Mytilus edulis: one gene and its partner. Each later gene encodes a partner of the first gene's protein in a complex. Links are inferred from orthologs where the notes say so. Each region holds a gene or a part of one and is shown on either strand. Other genes may lie near its edges.

Region 1 (12,485 bases):
ATAGGGCACATGTATACTAAGTTTCAAGTTGATTGGACTTCAACTTCATCAAAAACTACCTTGACCAAAAACTTTAACCTGAAGCCAAAAACTTTAACCTGAAATTTGCACTATCATTTTCTATCAGTGAACCGTAAAATTGGGGTCAAAACTCTAATTTGGCATTTAAATTAGAAAGATCATATCATAAGGAACATGTGTACTAAGTTTCAAGTTGATTGGACTTCAACTTCATCAAAAACTACCTTGACCAAAAACTTTAACCTGGCAAAGAGCTGTTTCACACAATCTCATTTTCATGTTCAATGAACCATGAAATGAGGACCAAAACCTAAATTTGAGGTACTTTTTAGAAATTCCCTATTATAATGACTATGTATGTAAAGTTACAAATGGATGCAACTATAACTTCATCATAAACTACCTCGACCAAAAACTTTAACCTGACATGGGACAGACGGACGAACGGACGAACGAACAGACGAACGAACAGACGAACGAACGGACGCACAGACCAGAAAACATAATGCCCCTACTACTATCGTAGACGGGGCATAAAAACACTTTAAAGGATAATTTTGCTACATTTACTCTTTTACTGAACATGCTGAATGACAAACTTTAAATTAAGAAAGTCAGATTGTCTTAAAAATAACATCATTTTTGAAGAAACCTCATCTTAGCTTAAAGTCTGCATCATTTATACATGGAGCTATAGCAAAGTAGTTTTTTTTTGTTGAAGAATTGGATGTTTCGATAGCAGACTGTTGGAATTCTGTTGAATTCATTCATAAGTTCTTTAGATTCAAGGTGATTGAGTGTTTCCATATGATGATGAAATTTGGATAATGTTGTACTTTGTCTTTTTAGGTTTGGTTGTATTGTTGGGTTTGTCTAATTGATGAATTCACCATCTCTTTCCTTGATTCATACATTTTGATGTTGTTGTTTTTTGAGTGTTAGTAAATGTATCTTATTTTCATAAAATTTAGACGTCATGATGATTAGTCGTTAAATATGTATATTATGCAAGGTAGACCTATATAATAATGAAAGGTATGTTTTCTTAAAAATGTAAGTAGTACATAGTTATGGAGTGTTTGTTTACCTAGAACTTCTTATAATAACACTAGTATTTTTTTGATACATACTTTTCTGTTCTATGCTTTTTTTGTCTCATATAATTATTTTAACTTATACATGTATACCCTGTATTTTTCTTCCTGCTTATTAATTCTTTTTTGGTTTCTGTAAACTTACCCTAAATTCAATAATTTTAACTTCATTAAAGAGCTGATAGATGTAGATAATTCCTGCAATTAAAGATAAAAAAAAAATTAAATTCCACTTTATATCACTTTGGTACTTGTTCTTGGTTTTCAACAAATGTTATAGTAGTGTTTTGATTAAAAGAAATATAGGGTAAAGGTCAACAAGACAGCTACCCAATAACACAATAAAAACCAGAAAAGACACATTGATTTCATCTTCATTTTTTTTTTTTTTTTTTCTTAAAAATGTTTATTATGTACATGTTCAAATGTATATGCAATGTTTTCACAATGATAAATTTAAAGCAATAAGTAATTTATACCTTACATTATATAGTAAATATCTCATTGGCTAATATAGAATCATGTGTCATAGTTTAATTTCAATGCTTTTCCAAAAATTATCAGAAGCTTCGTGTGAATACACCCAACAAATTGAAGCCTTCAGCAAACAACCCTATTATGTCTGAGAATAACCCTGACAAATTGAAGCCTCCATTGAACAACCATATTATATCTTGTTGAATAACCCTAGTCGTACCTCAATGGTCAGGAGTTAACTCTCTTTAACTTATGACGTCAATTAACGTCAGATGAAAGAACAATAACGGCCAGGTTTAAAGAAGTCCATAAAGTGATGAAGAAACTTGACCAAACAAGACATGGAAATTCATCTTGTGTTGACAAAATCTATATTTTACAGAAAGAATCCACATTTGTTGTACATATACTGTCATATATGCGAAATGTCAATAAACACAAAAGCTTCTAAAAATGTAAGTGTTTTCACAATCTGTTACAATATCTTAATTTTTATTGTAATTTGTTTGTTCAGCATAATAAAACAAAGATGGCCCATTGAGTCGGTGAATATCCATAATTGTCAACCAGAGTAAGGGTTGTTCCCCTCGGGATTTGGATATACACTGCCTCAGGGGGCCATAATTGTATAATGATCTTACCTTGATGTGGTTATTGAAGAGATTCAAATGCTCCAAGTTCACTAGTTCAGATATAACATCAGGTACCACTAAAGTAACAGGTAATAAGAGTAATTGTTATTTCTTGGTGTATATCTTTATTATCAAAGTCTATATAAACTATAGGCATACATTTGGTGTAAAACATGCAGTGTTTTGTTCTCCAGAAAAAGCATATATCAAGTAATGGTTAATTATTCAAGTTGTGATCCATAAGCTGAATTGGCTAACATGCTTAACCCCGCCACATTCTCTATGTATGTGTCTGTCCCAAGTCAGGAACCTGTAATTCAGTGGTTGTCATTTGTTTATGTGTTACATATTTGTTTTTCATTCATTTTTTGTACATAAATTTATAGGCCATTAGTTTTCTCGTTTGAATTGTTATTTCAGGGCCTTTTATAGCTGACTATCATGACTATGAGGTATGGGATTTACTCATTGTTGAAGGCCGTACAGTGACCAATGATTGTTAATTTCTGTGTCATTTTGGTCTCTTGTGGAGAGCTGTCTCATTGGCAGTCATACCAAATCTTCTTTTTTCAATTTACAGAAATAAAGTATTATAATTATCATCATAGGCCATAGTGGTATTAGATCAGTTGTTGTCCATTCAAGTATTGTATAATTCTGCTTTCATGTTTAGTGTGATCTCTTTACATTATTAAAATATGGAATAAGCACATTTAAGAATGTTAAACTGTTCTTAAATTGTATATTTATCAGTTCCTGTAGGCTATCAGAACGCATGCTTAACACTTAAACTAAGTCACCACACACACGTGATTTAATGTATTACAATGTGTCTGAAAGATACATTTTATGTTGTCTTTTTCTATGGTGACATTCCATCTATTGGATTATATATGGATAAATCATTTGAATTGCATTGAATTACATTGACTCAAATAGTCATGATAGTTAGTATAATTGCTATTTTATAGTTTATGCTTTGATCATATTTTTCAAGTTTCACTGAGTGAATATCTTTGACAAGATTTGATCAGTACTTGTGATAAACTTACCTGTTATCTTATTGTGTGGCATTGTAAGTCTGGTTAAATGCTTTAAATCATCTGCAAAATAAAAGAAAATAATTTTAGATACAAGCCTTCCCAAATTTGACTTTTGGATTGTGAAGTCATTTGGTTATTTGTGTTGCTGGGTTGCTGTCTCATTGATGTACATGTATACCAACATCTAAATATTTCAAACAATCTTAAAACATAAAGATGAAGAAAAAAAAAACCTGACAGGAAAGGCCTGTATCACACATTGTCATTTTGGGGCCTTTTATAGCTGACTATGCAGTATGGGCTTTGCAGTGACCTATAGTTGTTAATTTCTGTGTCATTGATCGTCGAGAGTTGGCTAATTGGCAATCATACACCATTTCATATGATAAAGATATAGAAAATTCACATAAAGCCAGAACCAGAGAAAAGCTTGTGTTACTTTGTTTACTATGTATTGACAATAAATAAAACTTTGATTTGATTTGATTTGAAAATGGCAGTTAGCAGCTGTAACGTTGTCCATCTGCAGCCAAGCAAAGTGTTGAGAAATTGGATATGCCAAATAATTTGTTTTAACCGTAATAGGCAGATATATGTCATGTATGTGTATGTGAATTTAAGAAATATATAAGTATAAGGTTTTAAAGGTACACAAAAAAGACTAAGTAAATAAAAAAAAGAAAACCAAAGGGTATATGTATAATTTAGACTGCTTCAATGTTTGTGTTGGCTTTCCTCCATCGTGGTCATTGCAGGATTTTACAGTAAAGTGCTAGTACTCAGGAATGCTGTACACAGGAGAACAAATGCCCAACGCTAATTAAAACGCTTTCGGGTCGATCCGGCCCCACGTCTATCCGGCCCAAGTCGATCCGTCCCACGTCGATCCGGCCCCACGTCGATCCGGCCCCACGTCGATCCGGCCCCAATAAAAAAAAATATTTCTAAGGAATAAAAATAAATATATATTAATTGTAATTCATAAATGTTTATTATTTTTATTATAATGTTAAAGGTGTACGGTGAAGAAAGCAAAAAAGGCCTTTGAAAAATATTTCCTTTAGATGAGTATAAAACAACTAGGTTGATTATGTCTTCATTACAAGTTTTCAAGATTATTGGGTATAATTATATTAAAACGTATATAAAAGAATTCAGACATCAACATTAATCAACATTAATTAGCATTTTCTTTCAATTGACTGTGATCCTAACAAGTCTTTCATCTTGTGTAACATATAATAACAAGTAGTTACATACATGAACGGTACAAGCCGATCCCCAAGCTGATACATATAAACTTTGTTTTTCTTTTTAAGTTCTTAAAATTTCTAAAATTGAGAAATGTTTGATTTGCCGAATCCTTTCTATAAAAGAGTGCTGATATTATATTTTAGAGAGTGAAAACGTGCATTCAATGTCATTGTTTTGTTGTTTTCTTGCAATAAAGAATAATGGATACTCATATGACTTTTTTTTATCTACACACTATTCAAAATATTGTCAAAATAAGAAAAATATAATGACTATATCCGATGTTACAAAAAAAAAGTGTTATAGAATAGAATATTTTTATATGTTAAAGAAGCCTATGATGTAACCTGAAAAAAAAAAATACAAATAATTATTATAATATACACCAACCAGAAGATCAAACCATGGAAGTAGTAATATTACTTCCATGATCAAACTATACTGAAAGACCTTGTTGAAAAAACAGATTACGTAACTTTAATTGATCAGTATTGGATTGAATTAAGTGATTACAAATGGCATTACCTTAGTTCACAATCATCAGACAACTGATGAATAAACAAACCAATTATAGACTAATGATTTGATTAAATAAGTCATTATTATGCGTTAAATTTTATAGGTCCATTGGACTGTAAATATTTATTTAGCTATTCTGTGTGTGAACTGAATAAAATAAAAATCGCCATGAAATTCAAAGTAAAAGTTATCATGGAAAATAACTTCATAATTCAAAAATGTAGAAACTGCGATACAAACAGACACAATAACACTAATTTTCGTATGGATGTAAAATAGTTCGTTAACTGGTACTCCAATACATCACTGACCTGTTGTCATCCATCATCGATCGGACACTTTTTTCAAATTCCATTTATACTGTTAAAGTTTGTGAAAAATTCCTCCAAAATCTAGTTAATACTCTAGTTCAGGGAAGCAATGCGCATGTGCAAGATCGATCGTGATTTTGCGTTATCGACTAATTAGATACGAGATTTGATAAACTGGGGGCATTATCAGTTTATTGATTTAACAGATCGGCATCATTATTACTGTAGTCATATGCATAATTTATTTTCACATGCTATGGCACACGAAAATATATACAACATATAACAAATAAAAGGCAGCAGAGAACAGAAGTTACAGACTGAGAGTATACAATAATATTATGACATTATATGTGATCTAATTTTCCAAGCGGCTGCATTTGAATAAATGCATATAGTTTTACTGTCAGAGATTTAGAATAAATTATCTAACTTATGCCGATTTGGCCAAGAATAGTAGAATAAATATAAAATTCTATGCGCACAGATCTATACGTTGGACATGATAAAACAAAATGATATTCGTCTTCCAAAACATTCATTTTGCAACATATACAAATTCTATTTTCTCTTTGAGTATTCAGATAACGACCAACTTCAACATTTAATCTAAGTGTGCCGCTACACAATTTTGTTAATATAGATACATTACAATGAAAATTTAAGTATCTTTCAAAACCAAATACTACTTTATATCGTTTATAAATACAAAGTTTGTTACATTCTTCTAAAGCTGAAGATTCTCAGATCCGGACATCCTGGCATTTACATTTTTCAGGGGGTGATGCCATCAGGATTCCTCTAGATTTTTCATCTATTTGAAGGTGATCACTGATTATTTATATTGCAGATTATTTTTTAACCAGAGTTTATAGTACGTTAAAAATCAAATTGGAGATATTATATAGTGTCTTTAACAATATTAAAAGAGTAAAATTACTATTTTCAACTGGTAACAATATATATCAATTAAATTAATTTGCATTAAAGTCTATGGAAAATCTAGAGGATTCTTATCCGCATCACCTCTCAATAATGTTTACATAACACAAATGCTAATCATTGATTGGTCAGTTACATGTTGTGATGTCACTGCAGATCTGAGAATTCCACGGACATATTAAAACAGACTATTTTGACCGTTATGTTAATTAATCTTAATTACAAAAGGAACAGTTAGATATGTCACCTGACTTTGAATGTTACCTTCACACAAAAATGGACAGATTCATGCTGTGATGTTCACTTAGCAGATCGTCTGTATATTCAAGAAGGTACAGGTGCTATTTCATTACCATATCTGAGGAACTGATCTTAGGTCATAAAAATAAAAGTCAATCAACACCTAGGCCATATGGTATCATAAAGTTTTACCTTAAACTATTAATCTCACCAGGCGACAGTTAGAGACAATTTATATACCCTTAATAATCGTAATATTTTATTATGGGGCCGGATCGACTTGGGGCCGGATCGACGTGGGCCGGATCGACTTGGGCCGGATCGACTTTGGGCCGGATTGACTTGGGGCCGGATCGGTTTGGGGCCGGAACGACTGGATACCATTAAAACTGGGTTAGCGGTAGGTATGAGATCAAGATATGTAAGATTCCTGTGCTTTTATCTTTCAGCCATGGTGTTGACTGTTGTTTGTTTATTTCTTATCCCCCCCATTTCTACATGCAAACATACACAATCCTGGAATTTCCAAGGTATTGATGCCCTTATCAACAATTTCCAGTTCATTGTTTTTGGTATCCTTACACTCCTCTATAAACTTCTTTGCTTTTGCTGCCATGATTGTCGACACCCAAAATATGTCCTATTTAGGAAAAGCAAAAATAAGGAAGTGCCTAGCAGCAGCTTCCGTTTCAATACGACGCCAAAATAGTCCTGTGATAAATATCTGATTCTAAATCCTAAAAGTATAATGTTATCAAAACTATCAAAAAGAAGGTGATTGATTAAAAAAAGTTACTTAAATTCATTACAAATATGTAACTTTTCCATCTTTGCGTATTAATATATAAAACTACTTTCAAGATGTCAGCGCCCATGTAGATACAACTTTTCATGTAAATAATATTGAAAAGGATAGAATTACTTGACTGATATGAGTATTAGACTGGTATTTTTCGCAACAACCCCTCAATAACATAATGAAAAATGTTTATCTGTTTAATTACACCAAATATATGTTATTGAAACTCTCTGTTCAGCTGAAGGGACACCTTTTTTTACTAGTAATAGTAGTAATCCATGAACATGTTTATTATCTATGTCTAATTTTGTAAATAAGTAGAGACTACCGTGGGAATTATACTTGTACTTTTACACATTAGCACAGTCTTTATGTAATGCCATGGTATCTACATGTATGTGTCATTGTCATTCCATTATTAAATCGGTCATTTGTAAAGATGTCTTATTATTCACATTCGCGCCTATTCACGTTGGCACCCTACATGTTCACGCCCAAATTTTATTTAAACTATCATATACTATGAAATACAAATCGTACATTGTATCTTCATATCTTTTTTTTTTTTTAAATAATGATCGAGTATTGGTTTTGTGTTCAATAATTTGTAAACGAGTTTTGAAAAGTGTATTGCTATAAATATTAATCCATCATATTGTCATACTTGTCCAAACACAAATGAGATCAGAGGAGACAAGCTGTTAAAAACAATTATATTTCATGTTTTTTATTTAAAATCTTGAAAGTTTTGTCATACCAAGCTAAATATATACATTTGTATGCAGTTATTTACATCAAAGCAAAGACTTAAAACAACTATCATGATTTTTATACACTAAAAAATAACACCAAATTAGCTGTGTATAAATACCAATTAGCAGTAATCATACATAATTAACATTTAGTAATTAATCATCAAATTAATAAAAAAAAAATATATTATAATTCCCTCAAATTTTATTCAAGAAACTAAAATTATTTGGTATATACATATAAAAAAATATCTAATAATTCAACTGAAATTCTAATACAAATTGGGTGCGAACGGACTTCGGGTGCGAACATGTGAGGTGCGACCGTGTAGGGTTGCGAAAATATATTGGGCGCGAATGGACCTGATACCTTCACTTTATATACGCAACACATACTTCATAGAACAATCACAAGATTGGGGGTGCATGCTGTGCAGTAGTTTTGTTGTCTAAAATTTGTGCACATTTTTATACGACGCGTCATATTATGCTATCATGTTGTCGTTGTCTGGTCGTCGTCTGAAGAGGCATTTAGTTTCCGGACAATAACTTTAGTTTTAATGAATAGATCTCTTTAAATTTTTATCAGAAGGTTTAATACCACTAAAGGAAGGTTGGGATTAATTGTGGGGTTATGGCCCAAACGGTGTAGGAATTAGGGGCCACAAAGGGGCCAAAAACAGCACTTTTCTAATACTTTGTATAAATTACTTATTTCTTGACCAATTTAAAAGGGGTTTTATTCTTAAATTCTTGAATCTAACCGTGAATTAAGTTTTTTGAATTTGATCCACGTTTTTAAATTGGTCCACATGAGGTCCCAAGGGTCCAGAATTAAACTTGATTATGGGCCCGGTTTTCAAGTTGGTTCAAATTGGGCTCCAAAATCAAACTTTGTTTAAACTTTGTTTGATTTTAACGAAAATTGAATTTATGGAGTTCTTTGATATGCTAAATCTAACCATGTATTTTGATTTTTGGGCCCTGTTATCAAATTGGTCCACAATGAGGTCAAAAGGGTCCAAAATTTAACTTTGTTTGATTTCATCAAAAATTGAATTCTTGGGATTATTTAATATGCAGAATCAATCCATGGCCATGTATTTAGATTTTGGATATTAGACCATAAAAGGTAAAAAAATTTTTTTACATTTAATAGACCACACTCATTCTGTGTCAGAAACCTATGATGTGTCAACTATTTAATCACAATCCAAATTCAGAGCTGTATCAAGCTTGAATGTTGTGTCCAGACTTGCCCCAACTGTACAGGGTTTGACCTCTGCGGTCGTATAAAGCTGCACCCTGCGAAGCATCTGGTTAGGATTACCTTTATCAATTTAATCATGCCTGAATAATCTGGATAAGGTGATAAGGTTTAGAATAATTTTGACGGGAAGAGACTCGTGAGGGTAAACATGGAATATAAAAAATGTCAAATACCACAGCATAGAGGGGAATTTGAGGCATATTCGCTGGCAGTGGTGACAAACATGCAAATATTCATCTATAGTAAAAAAAAAAATCATTTTTTGAATCTTTGTACCTTAAACTACATGTACAGTATGTTGAATTTTATTTCGGTTCTAGTCATATACTTTTCCTGTTTATTACAGAATGGCTCAACTTAAAGAAGTGTGTAGTTTTGATGGTCACAGTGACAGAGCATGGTGTGTGGCATGGAATCCTTCTGGCACATTACTGGCATCTAGTGGTGGGGATAAAGTTATAAGGATCTGGGGCAAAGAGGGAGACAACTGGGTCTGCAAATCTATTTTATCTGAAGGACATCAGAGAACAATACGTGCAGTTGGATGGTCCCCTTGTGGGAGTTATTTGGCTAGTGCAAGTTTTGATGCTACAGTTTGTATATGGAGCAGAAAAGAAGGAGAGTTTGAATGTATTGCAACATTGGAGGGCCATGAAAATGAAGTAAAGGCTGTATCCTGGTCATGTACTGGTAGTCTCCTTGCAACCTGCAGTAGAGACAAAAGTGTTTGGATTTGGGAAGGTATAAAACTAATGTGTACTTACATGTACATGTATTTCAAATAAAATATAAGATATAGTTTATACACTAGAACTCCATGCTACTATTGCATATTAAAAAGGAATTGCAATTATAAATGTATTTATCTAGTGATGACTATTTTATATCTTTGTGTTATCATGTCATGTTGTACAATTATTTTACAACATAAAAAAAGGTTAAATTGATGCAGTATAACATGTTTGTAAGCAGTGTATAAAAAACATCACACACTGAGATTGCATTAAATAATGTATTTTGATTCTATTTTTTTTTCATTTTCAAAATAAAGTACATGTCATGTATGTCAGTATGTTTGGATAAATTTTTCATATAAAAAATATATTTAACAAATGTAGATGATGAATATCATGAATATGGTGGGAAAATATATTAATCAAGCAATTGAAATTTTTTGAGTCCTGAATATTTTTTGCGTTTTGTATATATGTGTTATTTTCAATGTCATTTGAGCTATTTGTGTTTTTAACCGGATTTTTGTGACAAAAATGTCGGTTATTGATTTGGGGATGTACGGGCGGGCGGCAATCAAATGTTGTCCGTGCATTAACTCATGACCCATTCAACCAAAGCTTTTAAAATTTTAATATGTTGTTACTGACAACTAAATGAAGGTCAAGTTCAATAATGGCGATTTTGACTTTTACTGTTCAGGAGTTATGGTTCTTGTAAGATTGAAAAATGGAGTTTCCAGTCATGTCCGTGCATTTAAGCATGAACTGTTCTTCCAAAGCTTCCCAAATTTTAATATGTTGTTACTGATGACAAAATGGAGGTCAAGTTTAATTATGACGATTTTGACCTTTACCGTTCAGGAGTTATGGTTCTTGAAAGATTGAAAAATGGTGTTTCCAGTCGTGTCCGTGCATTTTCTCATGAACCATTCAACCAAAGCTTTTGAAATTTTAATATGTTGTTACTGATGACAAAATAGAGGTCAAGTTCAATTATGACAATTTTGACTTTTACCGTTCAGGAGTTATGGTTCTTGAAAGATTGAAAAATGGTGTTTCCAGTCGTGTCCGTGCATTTTCTCATGAACCATTCAACCAAAGCTTTTGAAATTTTAATATGTTGTTACTGATGACAAAATAGAGGTCAAGTTCAATTATGACGATTTTGACTTTTACCGTTCAGGAGTTATGGTTCTTGAAAGATCGTAAAATGGCGTTTCCATTCACGTTGTTACATTTACTCAAAAACCATTCAATCTAAGCTTTTCAAATTTTAATATGTTGATACTGATGACAAAATGGAGGTCAAATTTGATATTGACGATTTTCACTTTCATCATTCATCAGTAATGGTTCTTGTGATATTGCCAGGACACAAATAAATGTTAATAAATCCGGTTTGCTGTCGTTGTGACAGCCTCTTGTTTAAATTCATTTTAATGCTGATATAAACAATTTTAGATTTGATTTTCCTGAGATTAAATAGATTTTGTGACATCTACCCACCAACATTTTTCTTTAGGGGAAATCACTAATTGAATAATATAGAAATCATGACTTTTATATAAAATAAGTGGTAAAATCAAGATATTCACCAATTGCAGAGGTATTAAACAGTAAGAACTATATTGTCATACAAATAATTATAATAATATTGTTTTTATTGTGTTTTAGTAACAGAAGATTGCAGAGGTATTAGACAGTAAGAACTACAATGTATACTGACATTGTCATACAAATTATTATAATAATATGTTTTTATTGTGTTTTAGTAACAGAAGATGAAGATTTTGAATGTGCAAGTGTGATAAGTTCCCATACGCAAGATGTAAAACATGTGACTTGGCATCCAAATAAGGAGGTACTAGCTTCGTGTAGCTATGACAACACAGTCAAACTCTTCAAAGAGGAGATTGATGATTGGTCATGTTACAGTACACTAGAGTCCCATGATTCCACAGTATGGAAAGTGTGTTTTGATAAATCTGGTTCAAGATTAGCATCATGTAGCGATGATAAAACATTGAAAATTTGGCAGGAATACCTTCCAGGAAATACAGAAGGAGTTGTTACCACTGGTAATAATCCCACTTGGAAATGTGTTAGTACATTAGCTGGAATCCATGATAGAACAGTTTACGATGTTGATTGGAGTCATGTGACTGGTTACATAGCAACAGCTTGTGGAGATGACTGTATTAGGGTTTTCAAAGAGGAGGACTGTTCAGATAAAAATCAGCCGTCTTTTAATATGATATGCTCAGTAACCAAAGCACATGAACAGGATGTTAACTCGGTATGTTGGCACCCTAAGATCCCTGGACTTCTAGCCTCTTGTAGCGATGATGGAAGTGTCAAATTATGGCAATACTTAGAAAATTAAATATTTATTATATT
Region 2 (12,698 bases), on another chromosome or scaffold:
TTCTCGCACCCGGAGTCGTCTTTCATCTGGCCCCTAAACAAATATATACTCTTTCAGTGATAAGTTTTGGTAACTGCTTGATGCCTTGTACTAGCAGAAAATACTAAATAACCTATGTATCAACTCTTGATATACAAGTGACACACAAAAAAGAGAGAACAGACAGATTTTTCAGATGAAACTGCTTAACCAGGAAGTATGAATAAACCATCTTAGACACAAAAACACATCAAAAAACAAAAAATGTATTTGAGTCAAAGCTTTTTATTATGAGCAATAACTTGAAAACTAATAATTACCTCTTAAAAGAAATACACAAATTTTCATTGGGGACTAATAACTGTAGAATTAAGAGATAACTGTATTGTATTTGAAGCTTTAAGGATGTCCCGGTAGTTTTACTGTCGCAAATTAAGTTTACCTGGCGACGCGGAGCCAAATCAGAACCATTGATACAACATAATTGCATTAGAATCAAATGTATTGAAATTCAATTTTACATGGGAGATAACTCATTAAAACAGGAAATCCATTTTACCTTGATGTTAATTAGAAATTACTTGCTTAAAAAGCTGACTTTAACATCAAAATTCAATCTTTAAAAAAGATCAATCAAATGCTGTTTTGTCTGAAATAAAAAATAATTAACCACTACACTAACTTCTAAGAAAGAACATTTTTTACAGCAACACTTTTATATTAATATTTTATTAATAAGGGGAGATAACAAAAATCCTCTACATAAGGTAAGTGCAGCTTATTATAAGAGTCTTGCAGAGGGGCTTTGTTATTACAGTTTTGAGATGTATTATGAACAAAGATAAAATACTTAGTATTGCTTTTTGCAGAATCTGCTGTCTGGTCAATGAGAGATATGAATTATAATTTATATAAGTATATCACAAAAGGGAGATAAGTGTTGCAATTACAATTTAAATCTACATTAAACATGGGAGATAACTCTGAACAATAATTAAAAAAAAAAATAACAGACTAAGGTTGAGACTTAATGTTTTATTCATTCATGCACACTTTAATTTGAAATCTTTTCATGCTCAATTTAATGAATTTGATACAATGATACAATGAAAAGACCACTAAAAGCTACAACAATGTTTTGAGTGTAACATAACTTAAATTTACTATTTTCAATAGACTTTTTATGAAGAGCTTGTGTATAATAACTATGTGATCTTGTGAATGCAATAACTACATGAAGTCACTGTTGATCAATTTATTTATATATATATTCATAATAATTATAAATAACCAAAAATGTATTAACGTGTCTTAGGTATAACTATTTTTTATAACTGTACCAAAAGAGAAATGGGCTAATAACATTTTTGGGCTATTCTCTACTTTAAAATGTTGAGGTAGCCAGGCATTGGTAAAGATTATGTCTTAATTATTTTTTCAAGCAATTAAACAGAAAGTCGGCCTTATATTGGAGGTGTTAAAACTTTATCTATGAGTAAAAGTCCTGGGCTTTCTTCAAGCTTTTACACATTATGCAAGTTGTCCAGTTGTAAATCAAGTCTATCTGTTTTGATTGTTATTATTTATATTCAAAAGTCATTCAGCCATTCTGCATTAAAGATGGTCCTTGAACAACAGTTATAAAACAGTTTTGAGCCCAGGGCCTGAAAAGTGATGAAAATGCATGGATTTGGAATCAATTAGAAAGTAAATCTCTATCCGAGTTTTCTTTTCTGGTCATCCAAACACTGATTAACAACTTCTATCAAATGACTGTTCTCCAAAGCTGCAGCTACTCTTTCTTTGTCTGCTAATTGTTTGTTTACTGAAAATATAAAATCAATTATTGTAAAAGTACCATCTTATATCGACAGGGGTTCAAATGAGTGTGGGTCAAAGGTCGACGAACAGTCTTTACTATGAAGATTCTAAATCTACATAACAAAGGAAGATGACGTTCATTTTTTATACTGTTATGGGACTGTTGACTTTATAGAAAGGTCCTTTTACTTCAAAATTGAAATGGTCCCAAATAGTTCATTACTTAAAGAGAGAGTTAAACAACTGCAGTCAGTTGTACGAACATGTTATTAGCCTAATGTGTCATTAAGTCTTCATTAGCCTAATGTATCACAAGGGCTTAATGAAGACTTAACAAGTGAAACTGCGAGCTACTGCTCACTGATGATACCCCGCCGCAAGTGGATAATATTAATAGTGTAAAAATATGCAAGTGTTCGGTAAACAGGAAGTTGTCGAGTGATGAACTGAAAACGCATCACACGGTATAGCTGACTTATATAAATCCTGAAACCAAATTTCAGAAATCCTTGTATTGTAGTTCCTGAGAAAAATGTGACGAAAATTTTCAACTTGGCTATCATGTGTAAAATCAGACAAGTGTTCGGTAAACAGGAAGTTGTCAAGTGATGAATCTGAAAACGCATCACATATATAAATGTTGATACCAAATTACAGAAAGGGTGGATGTGTAGTTCCTGAGAAAAATGTGACGAAAGTTTCATGGGACGGACTGACTGACGGACGGACTGATGGACTGACAGACAGAGGTAAAACAGTATACCCCCCCTTTTTTAAAGCGGGGGTATAATAAAGCGGGGGTATAATAAAGCGGGGGTATAATTACATGTTCGTACAACCGGCTGCAGACATTTTATTTATATTATAGATGAAAAATTATTATATATGTTCTTTTAAAACATATAGAACTTTGAACACAAAAAATTCCAATTGAAAATGGTAGATAACAAAATGTTCAGACAGAAAATGGTATTTGACTTTTTTCTGATTCCAGTAATATTGGTGACAAGTTTCAATTTGTTTAAGAATGTTTGGCAATAGATAAAAGCAAACAAACGCTTTTAGTGCATCATTTTTCAAACACACCAAAATATCAAGATCTTGTGAATAGCAGCAGCAAGACTGGATTAAACAAATTTATACAATAATAACTGAATGCTTAGAATTTCCTTGGTGAGCCTATGTCTATATACTTTACATTTGAAATTAGAAATTTTTAACATCAACATTTTATAACAAAGTTACCTGCTTCTTCCGATGCATGTGCTCCAGGTGTTATTGAAACATCTACCTGCAATTAAAAAATTACATGATCTGACAGGAGTGAAAATCTTGTTGATAATTTTTGCAATTTTTCTATTTATCATTGTTTTTCAGATATGACAATCAGATGCTCCACAGGGCACAGCTTTATATGACTGCTAAGGTGAAACCCTGAACTGAGATATACTGTTTAGCTATTAATATTTTAATTATTTTTGTCTTTAATATCTTTTAAGAGAGCAGCAAAATATTCATATGAACCCAAAGCACAAAGTGTATTATTTTCAAATAAAAACTTCTGATACTTTTCTTTTTCTATCAGCTAAATCATTGATACATTACAAGAAACTCATAAAAATGCTATATAAGGTCTTGCAATGCTCTTGCTCCAATAAAAAATCCTCAGCTTACCAATAACAAGGATTTGTATAGTATAGTCTTACTATACAAATCCTTGCCAATAACTTTTTTGAAATTAAGTTTTTTTATTTTTAAGGATGTTTTTCTGTGGCTTTATGTTACATTTTTGATACCTTGAATCTTGGTGGCAGAGATCTTAGAAGTTTAACCCGAATAGACAATCCAATCAATGTTGCCATACTACAGTGTGGAATTGTGGGTGTAAATTCTATCGTCACTTTGTTAGCATCATCATCTACCTGAAAGAAAAATTCACATAACATTATGGTGCATATAATTCTAATGAAATGTACAACTTCTATTCACGGCTGTCTGCTCTTTGGTCGGGTTGTTGTCTCTATGACATATTCTCCATTTCCATTCTCAATTTAATCAATCTGAATAAAGTTAGATATTTCACTATAGCTCTTTTGAGATTTTTCCTGCGACTTGTCTGAAAACATCCAATATGGGAAATCAAGCACTGATTAACATGATTAATGATGTAATGTATTTATAATTATTATTTCCACTTGCAGACTCAAAACAGTCTCTTGAAAATATATCTTGAAGTTATGATTTTATTTCATCTGATTTTAATTTTCTTTTAGATATCTCTTGAATTCAAATGAGGGTTACGGACATTCAATTGCCAATACACTATATTTCTTTTTAGTTCTTAAATTTGTTTATGTTCCCACTCAAGGTGAGTCTTTTTTACAGCAGATACTTTATAAAAGGTTAAATAATGAACAATGTAGCTCAGAAGACAGTTATCCAGAAACACATCACATTATGCTTGTAAGATTAAAATAAATGACATTACTAGCATCTACTGTAAATTCAGTAATTATTGCATGCATTTATTATTGCAATTTTTGTCAATTTAGACTACAATGTGATTTTATTTTTTTGCCATATTGAGAAAAATCCTGTTTAATTTAAGGAAAAATTTCAAAATGCGAATTTAAATTATTGCTATTATAACCCTGTCCCATTTTTCACAATAATAAAATCATCGCAATAATTTCTGAATTTACAGTAATCTTTTTTATTCAGTTGATAGTAATATACTTACAATAACTTTGCTTTGCTCAACAACATTCAATTCCTCTAATGTCAGTGGATGTTCAGGGTCATTTATAACACGGATCAAATCTGAAATAAACATATTATTTAACTATATGCTACAGTTATGGTAAAGATAATTGATTAAAGTATCAATCAGAAATAAAAAATAAAGACTTAGAAATTTGCCCCCTGGCTCAATATGTGAATAGATATAAGAAGCTGTGGTATCAGTGCCAATGAGATCACTGTCCATCCAAGTCACAATTTGTAAAAGTAAACCATTATAGGTCAAAGAACGGTCTTCAACACAGAACTTTCGCTCACAATGAATGACAAGCTTTAAAGGGCCTCAAATATGACTAGTGTTAAACCATTCAAATGGTGAAGTATTGTCAACTATTAGAAGTTGATCAAGAAAGTAATTTATAAATATATATCTTTATGCTTTCAAAGGCATCAACTGTCATGGATTGATTTCATGGGTTTTACAATTGCTTTAGCGACTATAATCATGATAGTGAATGTGTATAGTTGTGAAACTTAAACCTAAACTACAACAAAGTATAACAAAAGAGATGATTTACATTTTCCCATAGTGACCTTTCCATATATCTGTGGAGCATGATAATCATATGATGAGCCTATATATCTCCCAATAGATACAATATCTCAGTGCTTGCAATTGGAACATCATTAGATAGTTAAGAGGCATTGTCACTTCCTACCAAATTATATGTTGAGGAAGAGGTTGAAAAAAATATGCTGATGTATTGCACAATTTATTCTGTATTCAGGGAATTGTGATAATAGTATTACGGAACAAACTTTATTTCCGGTTTATGCGGCAAAATGACAATTATAAAGACGCTTGATGAATTTAGATAGAGCAGAGATACATGGGATCCTATATATGGTAAATGATGTCATAAAGGTGCACATAATCAATTGACAATCTTTTCCAATGAAGGACATAACTGGAAGTAGAAAGTGGTCTATTGAGATATTTTGTATTGTAATGGCATGATAGGGGTTGGTAGTGTTTTTGATGTGTAAGGCAATATGTCGAAGTTAGGAGTCAAAGAAAAAAATTATAATGGCCTTTCAAGACGTCATAATCATTTAATTGGCCTAGGCAATATTATGCAGTGTTTAAGCACAGGCACTCGTCTCAAAAAAAAAATCCTATATACCTTTAGAAAAAAAAATCTGAGACGAGTGCCTGTGTGTTTTATAAGGGTGACAAGACAGACCTGGCAATACAGTTTTAATTTAAATGTTTACTAAAGTTGCAGCTTTAGCAAGTGGTACCCATGACATGGTTCTGATTTAGTCAGCTGTCGTATTATTTAGTTTATCTTACCAAAAACTTCTCTTGTATCTATTTTGTCTGTAACACTTTCATCTTCTTCCTCTGGTAAGACCGGTCTCTCAGAACCAACTTCGTATATTGTAGGATTTGCATTGTCTAAATCATTTTGGGACATTTTGAAGTGAATTTCATGCTAATCCGGAAAAATATTAAGGGGAGTAACTCTGTTCGTCCGTTTCGAATTTTATAAGTTTTCTTTCATTTCCGGGACATTCACGAAATCTCGACTTTTGCAAAATGACGAAAGTTTTCAGAGAAGCCGACGTAAAGAACAACACTGATAAAACAAAGACTCTTATGATCATTCATGATAATGTTTATGATGTTTCAAAGTTTCTTGAAGAGGTAAGTTATGATGGGCAGATGGTTTTAAAGACTTGACATTCACATTGGGACACATAATCATAAAGGTCAAGATGTAGGACGTACGAAACAAAAATTGAAAGGATAAATTATGGACAAATGAAAGAAATTCATCATTCGGCATGTTCAAAGCTAATACATGATAATAATTTTATATTAAAATGTAAATTTTATTGTACTATAATATTCCTGTGTATAATTTATGAATGGGTAAAACTGCAGTTCTGTATCAATCCACATTTTAACCTTTATATACAAGTACCATATGACATCATACTCAACACACTTAAACAAATCTTTCACAATTTAATTCTAAGTTAAAATAGCTATATTTTCCTGTAAAGTTCTTGGTCCCATTTACTATGTCCCAATTTTGATGTTAACAAAATAAAAATTAAAACAAAAATCAACAAAATGTTTAGACTCCCCTTACCGGTGCTTGATAACGAAATAAAGGGTCTAAAATTGAACATTGAATTCTTGGGGTTCTATGTTATGCTGAATCTAACCATGTATTTAGATTTTGGATATTGGACCATAAATAGGTAAATGTCTAATTTAAATTTTTTTGGAAAGATAAGAACTTGTTTTAAATCTTTACTCTAAAGGCACTGGCCTCCCTAACAACACTACAGGTTAGCTACCTTTACTAAATGTTTTCACACTGAAATATAGTTCCCTATAGTTCTCATGTATGTGCACATAATACACATATAAACTGAAAAAAATGGGTATATTTTTGGAGCAGTTCATTTAAGAATGTATATCATTAAAGTTTGTTGATGTGCAGGCTTATTTTAAAACATTTTGATTAGGTTATTGAGTATTGATACAATACTCATATGATTGACAACTGGCATTATCAACAAACAATAAGAGACAAGGTAGACCTTTAATTATAATGCCCCACCTCCTAAACTGTCAATCAAATTGACCACATTACCTTTCAACATCTGTGTTACATAATTATACTCTAATATATATGCAACTCAATATACAAATATTTGACCTCATAATTGAATACACAAATGTGTATATTAGATGTTTGATACATTTATTATTTCCTATTTCTTTTTATCTACATTATGATTATCAGGGATCTCCATGGCCTGTTTAACGATGGCGCCCCGCCATCGTTCAAATGTCTTGCGCCATCGTCAAATGACTTGCTCCATCGTTAAATTGTCTTGCGCCATCGTTAAATTGTCTTCCGCCATCGTTCAAAACTTCATCGTTTTTTTGTAGCCCGACGCCATTTTTTTTATCAATTATAATCAAATGCATGTCATTGCATAACCCTTAGGCTTTTTATGTTATAATCCAATACAGTTCTAACGCCTGGGGGGTATCCGGATTAAGATCGCTAATCACTTGTACCTGAGCTTGTACAGGTAGATCAACAAACCAGACAGGAGAATACTATCTGAGGATAGACGATCCATTTGTCGAATTAACCAAATAAGTTTCAGCAAATGATTATGATAATTTAGATTAAATTAATAAATAATCCAGTTACAAAGAAAACAGTTGAACAAGTCGAACACATGCTTTATTTTGACTTACGCAATCAGCATCCTCCTTTTTAAAGAAGTACAAAATAAGACGCAAAACAGTAAATATTATTTCATCGCAAATAACTTGAGTACTACTGTAACGATAATTTAGAATTACTTTAAAAGTTTAAAAGTAAAAATTTAAATATTTCCTGTAAAGAAATATCGTATCGTAATTCCGAATTCATTTCGTATATTACAATCAAATTGATACATCCGCGTTTCCGGTTACTTTTTTAGACTCGAAAGATGCGGCATGTTGCACAGCATCAATTTGCAAGATAAAGTCATTAAAAACCTTTTCATTTGTCAACATTTGCTTTATAAATCTCTTTAACCTTTTACATAACCCGTACGAATCGTTTTGTTGTTGCTGCAAATCAGCCATACCGGTAATGGGTTCTGAATTTGACAGTGTCCATGAAAAATAAGCTCCACATCATATGATTTTTAACCCCCATAACAATTACCAAAAATACAAAAAATCTACATGGGGACCTCCATGACAGCTTTTGGTCATTCTCAACTAAGGGGGGACCATGAAGACTTGGCATTTGAATGATTAAAAACGGCAATAAATGAAAATATTGATACTTCTAATTCTATAATGAAAATTCAAATAAATATAATTTAAATAAGCAATTGAATTAGCATGTTCACCATTCCCTGTATGGAAGAATAAAATACTTCCGATCGCGCTACACTTTACAGCGTAGTCACGGTTTGTAATGGTGAAAGTTCCTCCATCGTTCAATTTTCATCCATGGAGATCCCTGTGATTACATAAAGTGATTCTGTAAATTATGTCTGAAAGATAAATAATGGAATAACAAGATCTTATAAAAAAAAAAATGAAATATGAATATGAATATATATATATATATATATATAAGATATTCAAGTAAGGCCTATAATTTTCTTAATGAATTTCCAATAAACATCTGTAGACTGTAATTAATCAACAATTTAGATTGGTTCCCTAATTTTTTTTATCAGGATTTGGCTTGAAACAGTTTTAAAATTTTAAAACTTTTAATTATAACAAACCATTGTTTATTTAATTATTAGTTTATTCCCCATCAATCCACATTTCAATAAAAAAAAGTTTTTTTAATTTGTTTACATTGAAAAAGTACATTTTCAATGCCCTGTGTTGAAAAATACTTTAAATATTGAGACACTCTACGACTTTTAATCTTTCAATGTCATATAACCTATGTTTCACAAAACAACATTTTTAGATTATTTTTGTTGACACTTTAATGTTCTTAGCTGTTGGTCTCGATTTTATGTTCAGCACAGGCAACATTATTTGGATAAGATATAAACTGCAGTTTAAATAAAATTGTGCAAGTTAAGAGAGCCGTATTATTTAATTTGAGCTCATTTTATCCTCATACTGGAAAAACTCTTCTCCTTCTAAAGACCTGCTGTAAATGCAATTTTCTCCAATAGTGCTTTATTAATGATCATTTTCCCTCACCATACCTTAATATGAAATTATTCAAACTACTCTTCTAATCTTTCCATGAGTGATTTCCATCACTTTGATTAAGTTTAAGTTCTTAGACCACATTCATTCTGTGTCAGAAACCCATGTTGTGTCAACTATTTAATCACAATCCAAATTCAGAGCTGTATCAAGCTTAAATGTTGTGTCCAACTGTTCATACTTGCCCCAACTGTTCAGGGTTCGACCTCTGCGGTCGTATAAAGCTGCACCCTGCAGAGCATCTGGTTTCATTTTAGTTCATTTAAATGTTTTGGAGTTTTGTATTACGTCCATTTTCACTGAACTAGTACAGATTTTTATTTAGATGATGCCTACCTCTTGATTTGGAATTTTCTTGCTGCATTGAAGACCCATCGGTGGCCTTTGGCTGTTATCTGCTGTTTTGTCCGGTTGTTGTCTCTATGGCATATTCCCCATTTCCATTCTCAATTTTGAAAGTGATGAGTGTACTTGGGATAATATACTCTCTATTCATGTAATTTGTTATTTTAATGAGTAACCACAATCGTAAATAAATAAATATGATTTTAATATTAGTTTCCTGTATTTCAGCATCCTGGTGGAGAAGAAGTATTATTAGAGCAATCAGGTATTAGAAAAATCATCTATATTTAATAATTGAAAATGAAATAACTCCACAAGCACTTGAATTTAAAATAATCACTAATTGGAGAAACTAAGCAGAAATATTTTGTATTATTTCACTTACTTAGGCCAAATAAAAAAGTATGTGTGGTTCCAGTTACATCTGAAAAAAAGTTAGGGTAAGTAGGTAGGGATTTTTTTTTTACATTGAGTCTATGGGAGCAACATTCTGACTTTAACAGTGCTTAATGAAAAAAGACAAAAAAATCTTTAGAGTAGGCTATTTTTGAGGCGAAAAAGTAGGGAAGGTAGGTTTACTGGAGTCACACATATGTTTTTATTTGGCCTTATTTTGAATGAAACTTATACAGATGGAAGATATAGAGACTGGGACAGAGACATTTTAATTTTGGGATCAATAGATCTGAGGTCAAATTCACTGCTTAATAGTGGCCCCTGTCAACCGATTGAACTCTTTGAGGAGTCAAAGATACACCTGTCTTCTCCATAAGTTAACATTTCTATTTGAATGAAAGAAGATGTGGGACAAATGTCAATCAGATGCTGTATCTTAGTCTGCCATACATGTATATCAAATTAAAGTTAGATTTAGATAGGTTACTATGCAGTTGTAGTTACAATAGCTTGAAACTTAATATTCATCTTTTAACGTAATTATATACATGTACGCCAAGTTAATGTTTCAAACCATATTTCAAATTAAAAATATGATAGGGTAACCAGGCATATTTTATTGACATTTGATTGTTTTTTGTTGTTTGACTCATTCCATACAACAGATAAAATCATATCAACGTATTCCCTAATATGCAAATCATATAAGAATTACTGACCTAAAACTTTTGATTCATTGTTAATTTTAGGTCGAGATGCCACTGAAGCATTTGAGGATGTTGGTCACTCTACTGACGCTAGAGATCTTATGAAAGATTACGTTATAGGAACACTACATGAGGTTTGTTTAATGAAATAGTGAAGACCAAGGTTTTTTTGGCAATTTTTGTTTAAGAATTAAGGGGGCATTATGTTTTCTGATCTATGTCTTATTCTGTTATATATCAGATTAGAGTTAGAATAAGATAGTTAAATTTGAATTTGTTGTCACAACAACTTGAAACTTGGTATTCATCTTCATTATGATGTTAATTCTTAATTTAATTATATATGCTAAGTTAAGATTTCAAATTGAAAATGTGATAGGATTAATGGGCATGGTGTTTAATGGACATATATTTGATTGTTTTTGTTGCTTGACTGTCATACCATACAACAGATAATTTTTCAACATGATTAAGAGAGAAAGCAATACAAAAAATACCTTATTTTTAACACTGTGACATATACACATGAAATTAACAATATAATCATTTAAAATTTAGATCATTCTAAGGGGTCATCCATAATTGTCAACCATTTTCCAAAGTGTACAAAACGTACACTTGGGGGGAGGGGGTTAAAAAATCAACATTTTTACCGTACGCTTTTTTTTTATATTTGCGGAATTTATTTCGTTTCCGTAGGGAAAGTCGATGTATAAAATCAAGAATTGGCTTGGGTGTGTTTCTCCTCTTGTTTCTTCTTTATTATTTTCACTTGATGATATTTATTTCAATATTATAATTCTCCTCAATCCGGATTGAACGAAAAAAGATCAAGTCATATGAATAATTCAAAAATGTGAATAGTAAAACTATTTAAACAAAAAGTTTGCAAGCATTTCTCAGTACCCCCGATTGTCAATTTCACCTGATTTATTATAGATCGTTATCGTTTCACTCTGTTTAATAAACAAAATCGACGGAAACACTAAATTCTTTGAATGTTGTGATTTTGACAAGACGCAATTTTGTGAAAATATTTTAAACTGGTCCTTCGATTAATTTCCTCGTAAATAAAGGCAACAGTAGTATACGGCTGTTCAAACTCATAAATCCATGGACAAAAAACAAAATCGGGGTAACAAACTAAAACTGAGGGAAACGCATTAAATATAAGAGGAGAACAACGACACAACACTACAATGTAACACACACAGAAACGGACCAAGCATCAGACAAAATCCCATGAGAATAACAAATATAACATCAAAACCAAATACATGAATTTGGGATAGACAAGTACCGTGACACGTCTTAATTATCGCAATGTGAATTTACACTCAAAAATAAGGGAAAACAAACGATGCAACGTTAAAATGTAACACACACAGAAACGAACTATAATATAACAGTGGCCATATTCCTGACTTGGTACAGGACATTTTTAAAGGAAAAAATGGTGGGTTGAACCTGGTTTTGTGGCATGCCAAACCTCCCTCTTTTATAGCCATGTGAAATATAACATTAAAATGACAACGCAACACCACAGGACTACAATATAAATAAATTGGAGAACACAATTGACAAAGAAACACACGAACAACAGCCAACAAAAGGCAACAAGTTCAAAATTTTAATGCATTCCAAAATAGTAAATCAGTAAACCGTTAGTAAACTTATTTTTCTTAGTATAAGCCTCCTTTAATTAGGAACACCTCCATATGAAGTCTAACCTTAATATCTAATATATGTACACGTTACAGTATATATACATAAACCATAATAGTGCCATGAATGGCATATTTACAGGGACCTTTTAAATAGAAATACAGGCGGGAAATTTAAAAACTTAAAATGTTTTAAAACATTAATACACTTTTATTGATTGTTGTCTTGAGCTCTGATTCCATCAACAACTGTCAGTCCATACTTTACCAATGCAA

The links.
Region 2: the proteins of probable cytosolic iron-sulfur protein assembly protein CIAO1 homolog (region 1) and cytosolic iron-sulfur assembly component 2B-like are in contact, whole or in part, in a crystal structure (PDB 6TBN), measured with the Drosophila melanogaster proteins. The link is inferred for Mytilus edulis from reciprocal best matches to the Drosophila melanogaster genes Ciao1 and galla-2. Residues at the interface, in NP_610996.1 of Drosophila melanogaster: Arg16, Trp18, Arg60, Thr61, Arg63, Phe79, Glu105, Lys107, Arg123, Asp150, Lys152, Tyr168, Asn170, Ser195, Thr196, Trp198, Thr216, Ser248, Gly249, Gln250, His251, Ser252, Arg253, Tyr256, Gly272, Asp273, Asp274, Arg277, Glu299, Gln304; in NP_648416.1 of Drosophila melanogaster: Ser74, Pro106, Lys109, Thr111, Ala124, Lys127, Gln128, Asp131, Lys132, Glu133, Arg134, Ala136, Ala137, Glu140.

The regions. Positions count from the first base shown.
Region 1 is NC_092345.1:69,383,282-69,395,766, forward strand, and holds the start of probable cytosolic iron-sulfur protein assembly protein CIAO1 homolog, read left to right. Parts: upstream 1-7,372; 5' UTR 7,373-7,426; exon of another isoform or gene 7,427-7,479; intron 7,480-9,700; 5' UTR 9,701-9,701; coding exon 9,702-10,095; intron 10,096-11,860; coding exon 11,861-12,471; 3' UTR 12,472-12,485. Other genes in the region: ras suppressor protein 1-like, read right to left, coding at 1,261-1,313, 2,234-2,301, 3,277-3,327, 7,044-7,149. UniProt on the Drosophila melanogaster protein: Essential component of the cytosolic iron-sulfur (Fe/S) protein assembly machinery. Required for the maturation of extramitochondrial Fe/S proteins.
Region 2 is NC_092348.1:64,359,687-64,372,384, forward strand, and holds cytosolic iron-sulfur assembly component 2B-like, read right to left. Parts: upstream 6,067-12,698; 5' UTR 6,018-6,066; coding exon 5,894-6,017; intron 4,621-5,893; coding exon 4,541-4,620; intron 3,723-4,540; coding exon 3,597-3,722; intron 3,092-3,596; coding exon 3,046-3,091; intron 1,805-3,045; coding exon 1,695-1,804; 3' UTR 1,000-1,694; downstream 1-999. Other genes in the region: cytochrome b5-like, read left to right, coding at 6,140-6,247, 9,884-9,920, 10,801-10,892. UniProt on the Drosophila melanogaster protein: Component of the crb-galla-Xpd (CGX) complex which is essential for proper mitotic chromosome segregation in early embryos. The CGX complex is also required for cell proliferation in developing wing disks.